3 linked regions of the Bombyx mori genome follow. The protein of the gene in region 1 purifies or fractionates together with the protein of each later gene. This does not show direct contact. Links are inferred from orthologs where the notes say so. Each region holds a gene or a part of one and is shown in the gene's direction. Other genes may lie near its edges.

The links.
Region 2: the proteins of uncharacterized protein LOC100286771 (region 1) and DNA replication licensing factor Mcm2 purify together in Homo sapiens (co-immunoprecipitation; 6 studies listed by BioGRID and IntAct, with this or other methods). This does not show direct contact. The link is inferred for Bombyx mori from reciprocal best matches to the Homo sapiens genes MCMBP and MCM2.
Region 3: the proteins of uncharacterized protein LOC100286771 (region 1) and kelch-like ECH-associated protein 1B purify together in Homo sapiens (affinity purification with mass spectrometry; 3 studies listed by BioGRID and IntAct, with this or other methods). This does not show direct contact. The link is inferred for Bombyx mori from reciprocal best matches to the Homo sapiens genes MCMBP and KEAP1.

The regions. Positions count from the first base shown.
Region 1 is NC_085117.1:15,219,700-15,223,710, forward strand, and holds the start of uncharacterized protein LOC100286771, read left to right. Parts: upstream 1-1,209; 5' UTR 1,210-1,566; coding exon 1,567-1,674; intron 1,675-1,746; coding exon 1,747-1,929; intron 1,930-2,852; coding exon 2,853-3,209; intron 3,210-3,308; coding exon 3,309-3,555; intron 3,556-4,011. UniProt on the Homo sapiens protein: Associated component of the MCM complex that acts as a regulator of DNA replication.
Region 2 is NC_085113.1:10,833,262-10,837,338, forward strand, and holds the start of DNA replication licensing factor Mcm2, read left to right. Parts: upstream 1-1,267; 5' UTR 1,268-1,421; coding exon 1,422-1,424; intron 1,425-2,687; coding exon 2,688-2,854; intron 2,855-3,384; coding exon 3,385-3,551; intron 3,552-4,077. Other genes in the region: mitochondria-associated granulocyte macrophage CSF signaling molecule, read right to left, coding at 311-694. UniProt on the Homo sapiens protein: Acts as a component of the MCM2-7 complex (MCM complex) which is the replicative helicase essential for 'once per cell cycle' DNA replication initiation and elongation in eukaryotic cells.
Region 3 is NC_085128.1:13,280,805-13,285,069, reverse strand, and holds the start of kelch-like ECH-associated protein 1B, read left to right. Parts: upstream 1-1,455; 5' UTR 1,456-1,615; coding exon 1,616-1,676; intron 1,677-2,981; coding exon 2,982-3,145; intron 3,146-4,265. UniProt on the Homo sapiens protein: Substrate-specific adapter of a BCR (BTB-CUL3-RBX1) E3 ubiquitin ligase complex that regulates the response to oxidative stress by targeting NFE2L2/NRF2 for ubiquitination.

The DNA.
Region 1 (4,011 bases):
CCTTCTGGGCGAGGTTATTCTCCTCCAATCTGCTTTTGCCACATCCAACCAGCATTTCTTGGGCCTACCGCGGGATCTTGAACCTGGTACATAGAAGTTGAGGTATCTATTTCCGACGTAGTCTGGGGTCCTATGGTTTATATGGCCGTACTATCGTAGATGAATTTCGTGCAGCTCATCTGCTACGTTATGAACTCCAACGCTGCCGTTGATGTAGTCGTTAGGAATGTGATCTAGTCGTGTAACGCCACACATCAACCGCAGCAGCTTCATTACAGTAACGTGCAGTTTCGAAACATGTCTTACGAAGGCCGGCCATGATTCGCTGCCATAGAATAGGACTGGTCGAATGATGTACTTGTACACGAAGCCTTTTAGCTTTACCGGAACCCTGCGGTTGCACAGGACGCTCGTTACTCGAACTCGTGAAACACAAACTCTAAGTACTTGAATTTACTTGTCTTTACGACAAGTTCGTCATCTATCTTTATCGTTCCGTCGGTTCCGTCGTCTAGTTAGTCTAGTAGTACACTGAACAAAAAAGTACTCAGAGCCGAGCCTTGGTGTATACCCACAGAGATTGGGAATGGGCTAGTATTTTAGCATTGAGAGCTAGAGTTTGTGAGAACGTTAAAGTATTGTAGCACTGTTTTTAATTAAATTAAAATAATCAAAGATCTACATTTACTGTCTACCTGTACCGAGAGTCTTCCAATACTTATCAAGTATCTATGGTATATAGGCTGTATGGGCTTAGATCCCCTTGCCTTTCCAAATAAGGAAAATTTGTACAAAAAAAAATATCTAAGGTATTATCTATGGAGAGTAGGTATTATTTATGGAGTTTTATGACCTGGTAACTAAGATCTTTAAGTCAAGTAAATGAAAATGATTAATTTGGGAGATTAATCAACTGGAATGAAATTAAATGAAACGAGATGATATGGGATGAAATATAATCTCAGTAAAATAGTGGTCATTTACTGAGATTTTTTCAGCGGACTTTTTGGAGGATCCCGAGAAGTTACGTCCAGCGGCTTTATTTCATTTTCCCACCCTTGTGCACTTTTGCAGATATTAAACAGTTAATAAACCACCGTTATTCCACATTTAAACCTGAAGAAACACTAAATATACAAAATAAAACAAATCACACAACTTCACTCCTAGCGTTCCCGCCAAAACGTCGAGTAGGTATTTTACCAAGTCATAGATAATAAATAAACCAAGTGATTCTCTGTAAAAAATTTGCATAATTTCAAAATTTTCACTTTCATTATCGTACCGTACCGTACATTAAATAACAAAGTTATTACAATATCTAAGTAATACATACATGTTCAATATCGTACAACTCAAAACCCTTAACATAGATTTTTCACTAATTAATAAAATTCAGTATGTTTCAAAGAGTAAAGTAAAGTTAACAAAAACCACAAAAAAAGAAGTGCAATACGGTGCGGTATCATTGATGAGACTGAACTTTAATAAATTCTGATTCAGTTTATTGTATAACAACCAAAACATAACACACGATAATAGTATTAATGAATAAATTTTCTAATCATGCATGAAAATATCATGAGCGATATCGAAACAACGACGCCGGATCGATGGATTGAGAATGAAAAAATAATGAAGAGCAAGTTGATGAAATTACCAAATTGGTACCAGGTACGGAATTTATCATAAAACAGAAATCATTTTTGTAAAATTTATTAACTTGTCCTTTATTTGACCTTACAGATCCCACTAATTAATTCAAATGCTTCACATAATTTAACAGACGGAAACTTAGTGCGGTTCAGAGGCATGATCCAAGACATGCACAACCCTGAATTTTACTTTGAGAAATTTGAAGTATTTAACACAACAACAAATGAAGTAAAGGTTAAAAGTGGAAAATACAGAGATACTGCACATGTTTTGGTAAGGACCGAACATTAAGAAGTCTGCAAAAAAATATACACCGCGAATATTCCCTGTCATTGTTTCCGAAAATCCGAATACTTGGATACAGGAAGAAAGAGAATGAAACCACAAAAATTGTTAATTATAATGATTTTTTTAAATTTACTACTGAAATGCTGCCCATTCAAATTAACTTTTTCACTTGTTGAATATGTACGGTCAAAGTCACAACTTTCTCCTAGAGCAAGAGCCTCTTCGCAACAGACATATGCATGATAGACTATCACCATGAATTATTGGCATCTCTAAAGCTAGTTTCAGGATCAGTTAAAATAATCAATTTAATTATTTAAATATCTACCACTAATTCCAAAATAAGCCACACTTCTCAGAGGAACTGATGAAACAAGATAGTTGCTGATTGACAATACAATGTCAGGAGCTTACACCTCATTCCCATTTAGTGCTAAAAAGTATTATTAACTTTTAACTAACTATTAACTAAGTTATTAAGTTTGTAATATTTCTAATATTAACTTCCTGGAAGAACTGAGATAGTGCTTGTAAGATCCTTTTTATGTAAAGCATTAAAAATAAAACCAAAATGGAAGAATTACTAAGATCAAAGCTGTTCATGCAACCATATGCTTAATATACCTAAATGCTTAAGATATAGCTAAGTGTGCGTATAAAAAATATTAAAAATAAACGTTGACTAAAATCACTATATAAATTGTGTGCATGTACTTTTAAACAAAAATATAACATGTTGATATTTCTGTTAATGTTTGACAAACATTATGTTATGATATGAAATGAAATCTATTAATTGGGCTTCATGTGCATTTACAAGAAAATCTTCCTTTCCCCTCTTATAAAGGGCAGAATTTATTTACAACATTCATTATTATAGTAAATTAAATCAATATAAAATGTTTCAGGAAAATGAGAAAATTAACTATTCTGAGAACCTAATCAGTGGTCAGCGACAGACTTTAGTTGTTGTGTCTATACCTGGGTTAAATGACTGGGTCCAACAACTAGAAGATAAACAAAACTATTTGAAACATTTAGAAGAACCACCAAATACTTCCAAAAGGCTTCACCCAAGTACAAAGTTAAAAAGAAGCTACGATGATACAGAAGATAATTTGGATGAAATGGAAGTTGATAATGAAGCTGTGAATAAGGAAATGAAGATTTTAGATCACAAAGATAATACACCTGATGTGGTTTCAAGAGAACATTTGTTAAATTATCCTCTACCTGATGTACCTAGCAAATCTTGCATTGTTAAGGTATAAGAAAATCCAATAATATTGTTTCCATCCACATAGCAGTAGTAGTTAATAAATGAAAAGCTTTGGTTATGAAACTAAATAATAAATTGTTTTCAGATTTACAGTGACAATGAAAATCTCAAGCTCAATGACATGATAGAAGTCATTGGATTTCTTTCTGTAGATCCATCCCTATCAGGCGAATTCAAGGAAGATAAGGATTCTATGATAGAGCTCCAGATTGAGAGTAGTGTCGAAATTATAACTCATAATCCTCCACCAAGCTTAGTACCACGATTGCATGCTGTTCATGTACAAAAATTGGAACATTGCAATCCATTACTTTCAAATAGTGTTGATCAAGGTATCTAGCTAATTGAATTGCATATTTTTTTTGCTCGTACAAAATCACTGTCTACTTTGTGTTAAGTGGTTACTGGAGCTCATGGACTACAATGTGATTGCTAACACTCAGCCTTATTTGTATTTTGTTGTAGCTGTCACACCCTTCAACCTTGATGTCATTACTACTTTTTGGTAGACAATAATCAAAATGGTTATCACCATCCATATCAATGCAGTCTTGAAAAACCTAGTAATCTACCATTAGTACTAATAAAATTTATCTAAAGTTTAGAATATGAATGGAAGTATCCGACCAGCCATAGTATCTATCACACCCAAAAAGTAAAAACTCATAGCCATAAATCGACTGCTCCTACATACAAAGGGTCATGTCAAAAATGATGGCTTACAGGAGAGCGTTTTAAAGTTTCAATCTCATGTGTAATTGACTTAACATAAAAGTGACTTCTATCTT
Region 2 (4,077 bases), on another chromosome or scaffold:
TGAAAATGCAAAAAAAATGTGTCAGGTAGTTTAATGTACAATATAAAATTATAAAAAGTTGTGCTTAGCAATAATTTATTGATTATTAAAACAATAAAAGTAACAATGCTTTAGCAAGTAATGTAACTGATTGTATTAAACTTTCTACAGCAATATAATATCAATGAAATTTTGTATTAAAGCATAATCAATGTTTATGAAGACTGATGTATTCTAGTCACTATTGTGGGCGTTTGTACTCAATAAACATATTTTACAGGAAAATCAATTTACTAATTTTAATCACTACACACTAAATCACAGCCGAGTCTCATGAAGTGTCTTTAGACGGGCCCTGCTCGGAGTTGGGTGATGTTTGTTTTAGTTCCGCATCTAATCTCTCCTTCGCTCTTACGATTTTCGATTGCAAATAAAACGAACCTCCTTTCGATTTGTCGTTTACGGCGAAAAGGTGTTCATAATTTTTACTAATTTTCTCGGGGTCTACTTTTTCTATATTTAATATTTGCATTGCTTCTTCTAAAGTCAACCCTGTGGAAGCATTGGCAGCAGCTCTCCGCGCTCCTTCGGGTCCACCGCCAGCCCTCTTCGCTGCCTCTTGGGATGCAGCTATTTCTTGTTTCAAGGCGCGTGCGAATGCTCGACCTACAACCTGAGCGCCCAAAACTATTATCTGAGCTATGTATTTAGCCATGTTTCATTATCAACCGTCTTATACAAGTTTTTGTCATTACGAAATAACCACAAAATAAATAGATTAACCGTCAATAGTGACTGACGGAAATACAGTGAAAACGCTTTTTTCAATGTTCTTCTCCAAATGACAAAGGGAATGTAGTCCATAAGCTTTAAGATTGTTGATTTTTTTCCCTTATTTGTACGCTGAAAAAAGATTCATTGCTGAATAAAATTAAAGCCATTTTTTTTATTTAATGTGCAGAGACATAGTTACAGCATATTTTTAAAATACAAAATTAAATCATATTTTAAATAATTGTCAAAATTGACCAAACTGTTAAGAAATATATGGTCCTCCGCCTTAAGCTTCTTCTTCTTCTTCTGTTTGATTTTGGCTCGCTCGGCTTGCGTATTTGCCACAAAGCAAAATAAACGCTTGGGAAACTAAGTAATCAAAAAATTTTTAACTGATTCGCATGGGAGAGATTAGGAAAGTTAGAGAATATATGAAGATACATATAAAATAAGATTAACGCCTTAAGCTTCATAAACTGGCTTAAAAGACTTTGTTTCCAAGTCAGTAAAATTTATAAAAAAAAAGGTTCATAAACATAACCTACGTTTTTTTGTAACTGTAACCGCCTTATTTGTTTTGTACATTTTATTAGTTTATAGTCTTTAATTAATTTGTTTAAACTATTGTTTGTGATTGTGTGATCGTTTAATTGCTTACTTTAAACAAAATGGTAAGTATTTGAATAAATAAATAAAACAATTCTCCATTTGTTTACAAACTACGAACTCGTGTCTTTATGTTTTGTTGGACGGTTAAATTTGAGGGGATTGGGTTCTGTAGGTGATGAGGGGCTATTTAAAAACACAACTGCTTCATTATAATTATATTGCAGATAGCTTGAACACTTTTACAGCATTATAAACTTATTTACTTTATATTTTTTTTATAAAACTATTACATGTTTCTCTTGCCGTGTCTAGATGAGAAGTATTGACATTTTCTTACGAGAATACAATCATCTGTTTTTTTTAAACATTTAAAATAATTCTAATATTCGAAATCTGTAATCATGTGTCAAGTGTTGCCTGCCATTACATTTATATACAAACTCCAACATGTTTAATAAAACCCAAATTAATTTATTTCAAACCTTGCAAATTTTAAACGCTGTGATTTCGTTACCCATATATATTAAAAAAACAATTTCTTTCACAAATTGAACTGTTCTGTCCTACAATTATCTATACTTCTATACATTATAAAGAGGAAATATTTGTTTGTTTGTCTGTATTGAATAAGCTCCGAAACTACTGAACCGATTTGAAAAATTTTTTCACTGTTTGGAAGCTAGACTATTCCCGAGTGACATAGGCATAATCTTTTTTTGAAAAAAATTTGGGATCCTTACTAAAACTCTAATAATGTAACCGAAGGTGTAAAAAATTACCTAAAATATTCTTTACATCGCGTGCCCTGCGAAAACTATTGATGATAGAATAAAATAATGTACTACGACTTTGTAGAACACATTATTATTTACAAAAAGCGTCGCGATAGCATATGTCTAACTATTATAGTTATGCCGTAATAAGTGTTCTTTTATTTAAAAAAATAAAACAACTTCAAATACTGTTGAATTTTTGGTTAAAGACCCGAGCTGAGCCGGAGCGGGCCGCTAGTTAGAAATGATTATAAAGTGCTGAGTTCATACAGTATTTCATTTACGATAAATCTAAATTGGATAGGTATGTTCATTAAATGTAACAATTTCTAATATCTTTCGTATTGTAAGCCCTGACAGGTAGGTAATCTTACTTTACCATGGGCTCCAGTAACCACTGAACATCTGGTGGGCCGTGACTCTTAATTGCATTGATGACTTGTATGAATGGTATTTAAATACCCAGTTTAACAATACAGTACAATTGTGTTTTTTAGGAGTACAGTCCTGTAATAGCCATGTTCAACATTTGAATGAATATTTATGTTCCAGAGTTCTCCAATCCCAGACACACCTTCAGACCGCGAAGGAGCTCAATCACGAATGACATCACCAGCAAGAGAATATGAAATGTTTGAAGATGAGGGGGCTATACTCGGTGATAATCCTCTTGAGGAAGAAGAAGATGGAGAGGAACTTTTCAATGATAATATGGAAGCGTATGTATTTTGTAACTTAACTTTGTACACCATAACATTATGCATCCATAGATAATTCACAATTGAAATTTATTCAAAGAGACGTTTTTTAACATATCATTTTATAGCCTTGTGTTTCAAAAATGTTTACTCTTTCAAAGCAAGATTACAATTCATTGTGATTATCACAAAAAGTATAAAAACAGCAATTTCTTGAAAAAATCTAACACCATATAAATTACAATTAATTTTATTCATTATTTAGACAGATGAGCCAGTTCATGACCCACCTGGTGTTAAGTGGTTATGGATATCACTATGTGGATGTAGCCACTCACCTTTAGATGATATAAGTATTCCAGGAGTCAGACTGCGGTGCAGACTTCAAGACTGTATAAATTGTATTCAAATTCAACTATTAAGAACCAGCAATCAAACAGTAAATTATTTTCAAATATCAAATACTGCCAACACAACACTTATGAGAATAATTTTATTAATATATCCATTATTGTTTTTGAAGACTAAAAATTCGTATTTTTTTATTCCAGTGATTATCGTCCTATGCCCGCGCTGGATCGCTATGATAATGAAGACCTTGATGATGATGAATACGATGCAATGTCCATTCGAGACCGTGTGGCAGTTGAACAGGAGCTCCGAAGAAGAGATAGAGATGAAGGAAGAATAAGACGTGATGATCGTGATCTGTTGTACGGTGAGATTATCATAGCATAATGACTCAATATTAAAAGATCCAATTGCATTAATTGTCCAGTCAATAAAAAAAAATCGATTCAAAATTATTTGATAATTCAATTCAATTTCTTTTCTAATGGTGGTCCTTTTTGATTTCGCGAAAATCCAGTATTATAGAGTCTGTGATTTTGGTTGTGCCCAGATGTCTTTTGGTGTGGTTTGGACTCTTGTTTGTTGGGTGGGAGTTACTTGATAACAAAACACAAAACTACAAAGGGGTACGAGACAAGAACAAGTACATTCAGAATCAGAATAAATAAATAATAGTTAAAAAAAAAACAAAAAAATACGCTTTTATACAAAATCCAACTAAGAATAAAAAATAAAAATTAATAAATTTGAATTATAAATAGGTAGTGTAAGAAAAAAAGATTTTATTGTAAAAAAAAAAAGCGCTGTTCGGAATATTATCAAAATAACCCTTCTAGTTATATCTGTTCATAAAATTTTGATTACTATTGTTACCATGCACCCTATGCTTTTTT
Region 3 (4,265 bases), on another chromosome or scaffold:
AAAAATAATGCCATAATTAAATTAGTTTAGTTCATATAAATACCATAAATGGCACGCTAAGAAGGTTGATACGAAAAAAAAGTGTATTCTCTGAATTTGATACGTGCATCGCGTAGAGTCTAGCGTACTAACCGCGGCTCAAATTTGAAATGCGAGTAAGCGTACCGTCGTTAATAGGAGTGGGTGATATAAATCGTATATAGATTCAATATCTATATATCGCAGCAATATCGTTGAATCCGATATCGCCCCGCACAAAATCTATATATCGATATCAGCCGATACACGATATTGCTCGATGTGATGCGCATCGCCATATCGGACCGATTCGTGAATCGAAATCTATATTTCGATATCAGCCGATACACGATATTGCTCGATGTGATGCGCATCGGCATATCGTACCGATTCGTTAATATCAGCAATATTCGTTTGGTTCGTATCGAATCGGCCAGAGTGAGTGAGCGCACGATATCATGTGATGAATGAAACAGAAACAGGCATTATCCATACAATTGTAAACCTTATATTTAAGTCCATATGTCTGTAGATTATTCTTAGCGTATCAGCAGGATACAATTAAGGAAAGAAGTTTCAACTTTCGACCCTAACTTGAATGCAGTATAGCCTATTTGCATCGTTGAATTTAATTTCACGCGCTTTGACCTTGAACTAGAATTTTTGGACAAGTGTTTATAAATACTTAAAAGTTTTTTGTGTTTGATTTTTAAAGTACACATTTTTCTATTTTTAGTTGAATCCAAATAATTGAGTTTATTTCTTGTGTTTGTATTAAACTTTTGAAATCTACACTCTTTTGGTATATTTTGTAATTTTAAATTAAGACACAAAATACTAAAAACTGAAAATAATGTAGCCAGTCCTAAGCCTGGTAAAAGCATGAAGGAAAGTTTTTTTGATATTTTTATTTTCATGTTATTTTTATTACTTTAAGATCATATTATAAATTGATATCAGAAAACCAACCGTATAACGTTGACTTAAATCTATATCTACTACGATATTATATCAGCGTATCGTTTCAAATCTCAAATATCATGAATCGAGAAAATCTACTAGCATACATCAATATATCATCATCAGCATCATCATGCTTTCCTATTACCCTCTGCTGGGGTGTAGGGCTCGAATCAAATTTTTCCATTTGTATCGGTCTTGGGCAGTCTGTTCTAGCTCCTCCCACGTCATGCCCAAGACCCCTAGCTCCTGCTCCACCGAGCGACGCCAAGTTGTTCTGGGGTATTCCATCAATATATAGATTCAGAAAATATATAGATTCAATATCCGATATTGATCCTCGATATATAGATACGATTCGATACGCGGCAAAACCGATATTACCCACTCCTAGTCGTTAATACGTCATATTGTACTGGGTACTTGTGATTCGGTGTGATAACAGTGACGTCGCTTGATAAGATCCACGGGACGAACACGTCGAAGCCAAATCAGGTAAGCGTCGACAGTCGGTGAGAGATATCTACCCGTAGTCGACTGCGTCGGTTGTTCTAGATAAACAAATGGAATACTGTGATATGCAGTGTATAAAGTCGATAAAATTGTGATCTAGTGAAGTGCTTGTAAAATTACAGTGATGAAGGTTGATGCCGTTACAATTTGTACTGGCCGATGTGGGAATTGCAGTATTAAAAATGGTACGAGAAGTAAATAAATTGAAAGCTACAAAGCGGTTGTGTTTTATATCTTTATCGATCTCAATCTAGCGAATTTAAGATTTAATAACCTCTGACGCTCTTCAATTGATACTCTGCTCATGTACAATTGTGAAGTGAAACAGACAGAATATATAATCTTTCAATTGCAGAAAAAGTTATAAACTTAATGTTTATTTTTGTTAAAAAATCCCTAATGAAACAAAAGTTTAAACGTAGAATTAGTAAAAGTAAAATTAAACATGAAATAATTTTGTTATCTTTGTTTGAGACGAACTAAGTGTTAGTTTTACCATTATTTTGTGAAGCCTATTTTGTGCTTTTAAATAAAATGTAAATAACGTGAGCTACATCGGTACTTAAAAAATATGTCATTCTTAAACTAAAAAGTAATAAGCGTAAGACTGTCATCATCATCATAGTCGGTTGTTCTTTGCAGAGCACTCATGATCATGTGGAATTCGTTTTTATTGAAGCCGAATAACAGATTTTCTCCATAGTTTTATAGTTCCATAGTAAGACAGATAGTACGGTTCACGTCTTAAATACTAATTACACGCAAATTTTTTTGTTCATTAAAATAACACCGCCAATTTTAAAATGTACTCAAGTGGTAAATTACAACAGTTCACTCTACCGAAACATCACAAATAAAACATAAAACAGCAAAACTTTTAGTAATAATGAATTTGTGGCTACCAAAATGGGGTTTATCGCGACATCATATAGGTAACAGTTTAAAGAAAGGTACCGTTTGATAATTTATGATCTACTGGAGTTGCTAGGATTACTAAGACGATATTAAATTGTTGTAAATTGTAATGTATCCATTTTTAACGTTATTCATCGAATTTACATACATTGCATGTAATAATAACCCACTGAGTATCTAGTAGGATCTTCTCAATGATTCGCGATTCCGATCCGGTGGTAATTCTGCGAAGCACTGTTCTTGCTAGAGCCAGTGTTAGCACACTTGCTGAACTTGAACCCAGTAAACTCACCAACTACCTACATAGTGTTGCTGGAATATTTCCTTAGGCTACCAAAATGTTTATAAAGTAGTTATTTATTTATAACAAGGCACGGCGATAGTATTTCCTGTGTTTTTTTTTACAAAAAAAAAAACAAAAATGTTTATCCGGTTCGACCCGGTGTTTCAAGGTAGCATCTGATTATGATGTCAACGGACTTGACGTTTATCAAAAATTCCTTGGAAACAGCGGCTAATTTACGTCAAACGAAAATGCATCGTAATGCTGTAAATAAACGGTTTTATTGTCGCAGGTACAATAATGGAAACTGACGAAGACTCGCGACGGACCAACATGCTGGATGACCTGCCTCCGATTAGTTGTGACAGCAACTTCGAGGATTCCGCCGGGAGTGGGTCCAACGAGATCGGCGATATGACATTCTGCATGGGAAATTACATCAGTGAGTTCATGAAGGTAAGTTATAAACATTTTCTGAACTGTGAACCTAAAGGAAATAGTATGTGGCGGTAGCCATCATATAACTCAAGATATCTGCCTGAATCTCGCTTGCGACATTTTCAAGCTTGCATAAATGAGGCCGTCAGCGCGAAAGTGGCCTAAGCTTACTATAGTTAGTATGGAGGCAACTAGGTTTGAATTTTCATGAATTTAAATTTGAGTAGACAAAAAGACCATACGCGTAAAAATGATGTTTACAAAGCTATCTATTATCTATGGGTGAAACTATGGATAGGCCGGTTTTGCATCAAAATTTATTAAATTTTAAATAAATTCCAATATATGTATATGTATATATATATAAGCTTGAATATAAAAAATTGTGGGTTAGGCCACTTTTGCGCTGACGGCCTCAAATACAAGTTCCGAACTACAACATTCAGACCATCGGTCTACCGGGCAATCTCACCCGCTCGGTGCAAGATCTTTCCTTTCGTCGTTATACCCACAACTAGCGGCGGTACCCGCCTGCGAGATTCGAACACCGGTGCATCGCTCGATACGAATGCACCGGGCGTCTTATCCTTTAGGCCACGACGACTTCTACAACGTAAATGCCGTCACCTACCTTGAGATATGAGTTCAAGGTGTCAGCACAGCTACAACGGCTGACTCACCCTTCAAACAAAAACGCATTACTGCTTCACGGTAGAAATAGGCAGTATGGTGGTACCTACCCGTACGGACTCAAAAGAGGTTCTATAACCAGTAGTAACCAGTAGATGTTAACCACTCACCATAAGGTAGGCCGTATGCGCGTCTGCTACAAGGCCAATAAAAAAAAAGTACTCTACGACTCTCGCTTCTACGGTGCATCACAGGATTTATAACTGATAATTTTCCACTGTTTAGTGTTTGATGCGATTTATCTAATTTCTATCACGCTTTTATTAGCTTGATATGTATGTGTACATTCCTTTGTATGTAACGGAATCTTTCAATGTCGTCAACACGTCTGATTAATAAATAAAAATTTTACACGCATCAAGACCCGATAACAATACAATTATTTTATGGCTTATTTCTTCTTCGGCTTCGTTTCAATATCCTGACGAGTGGCAATAGGATTAAATCG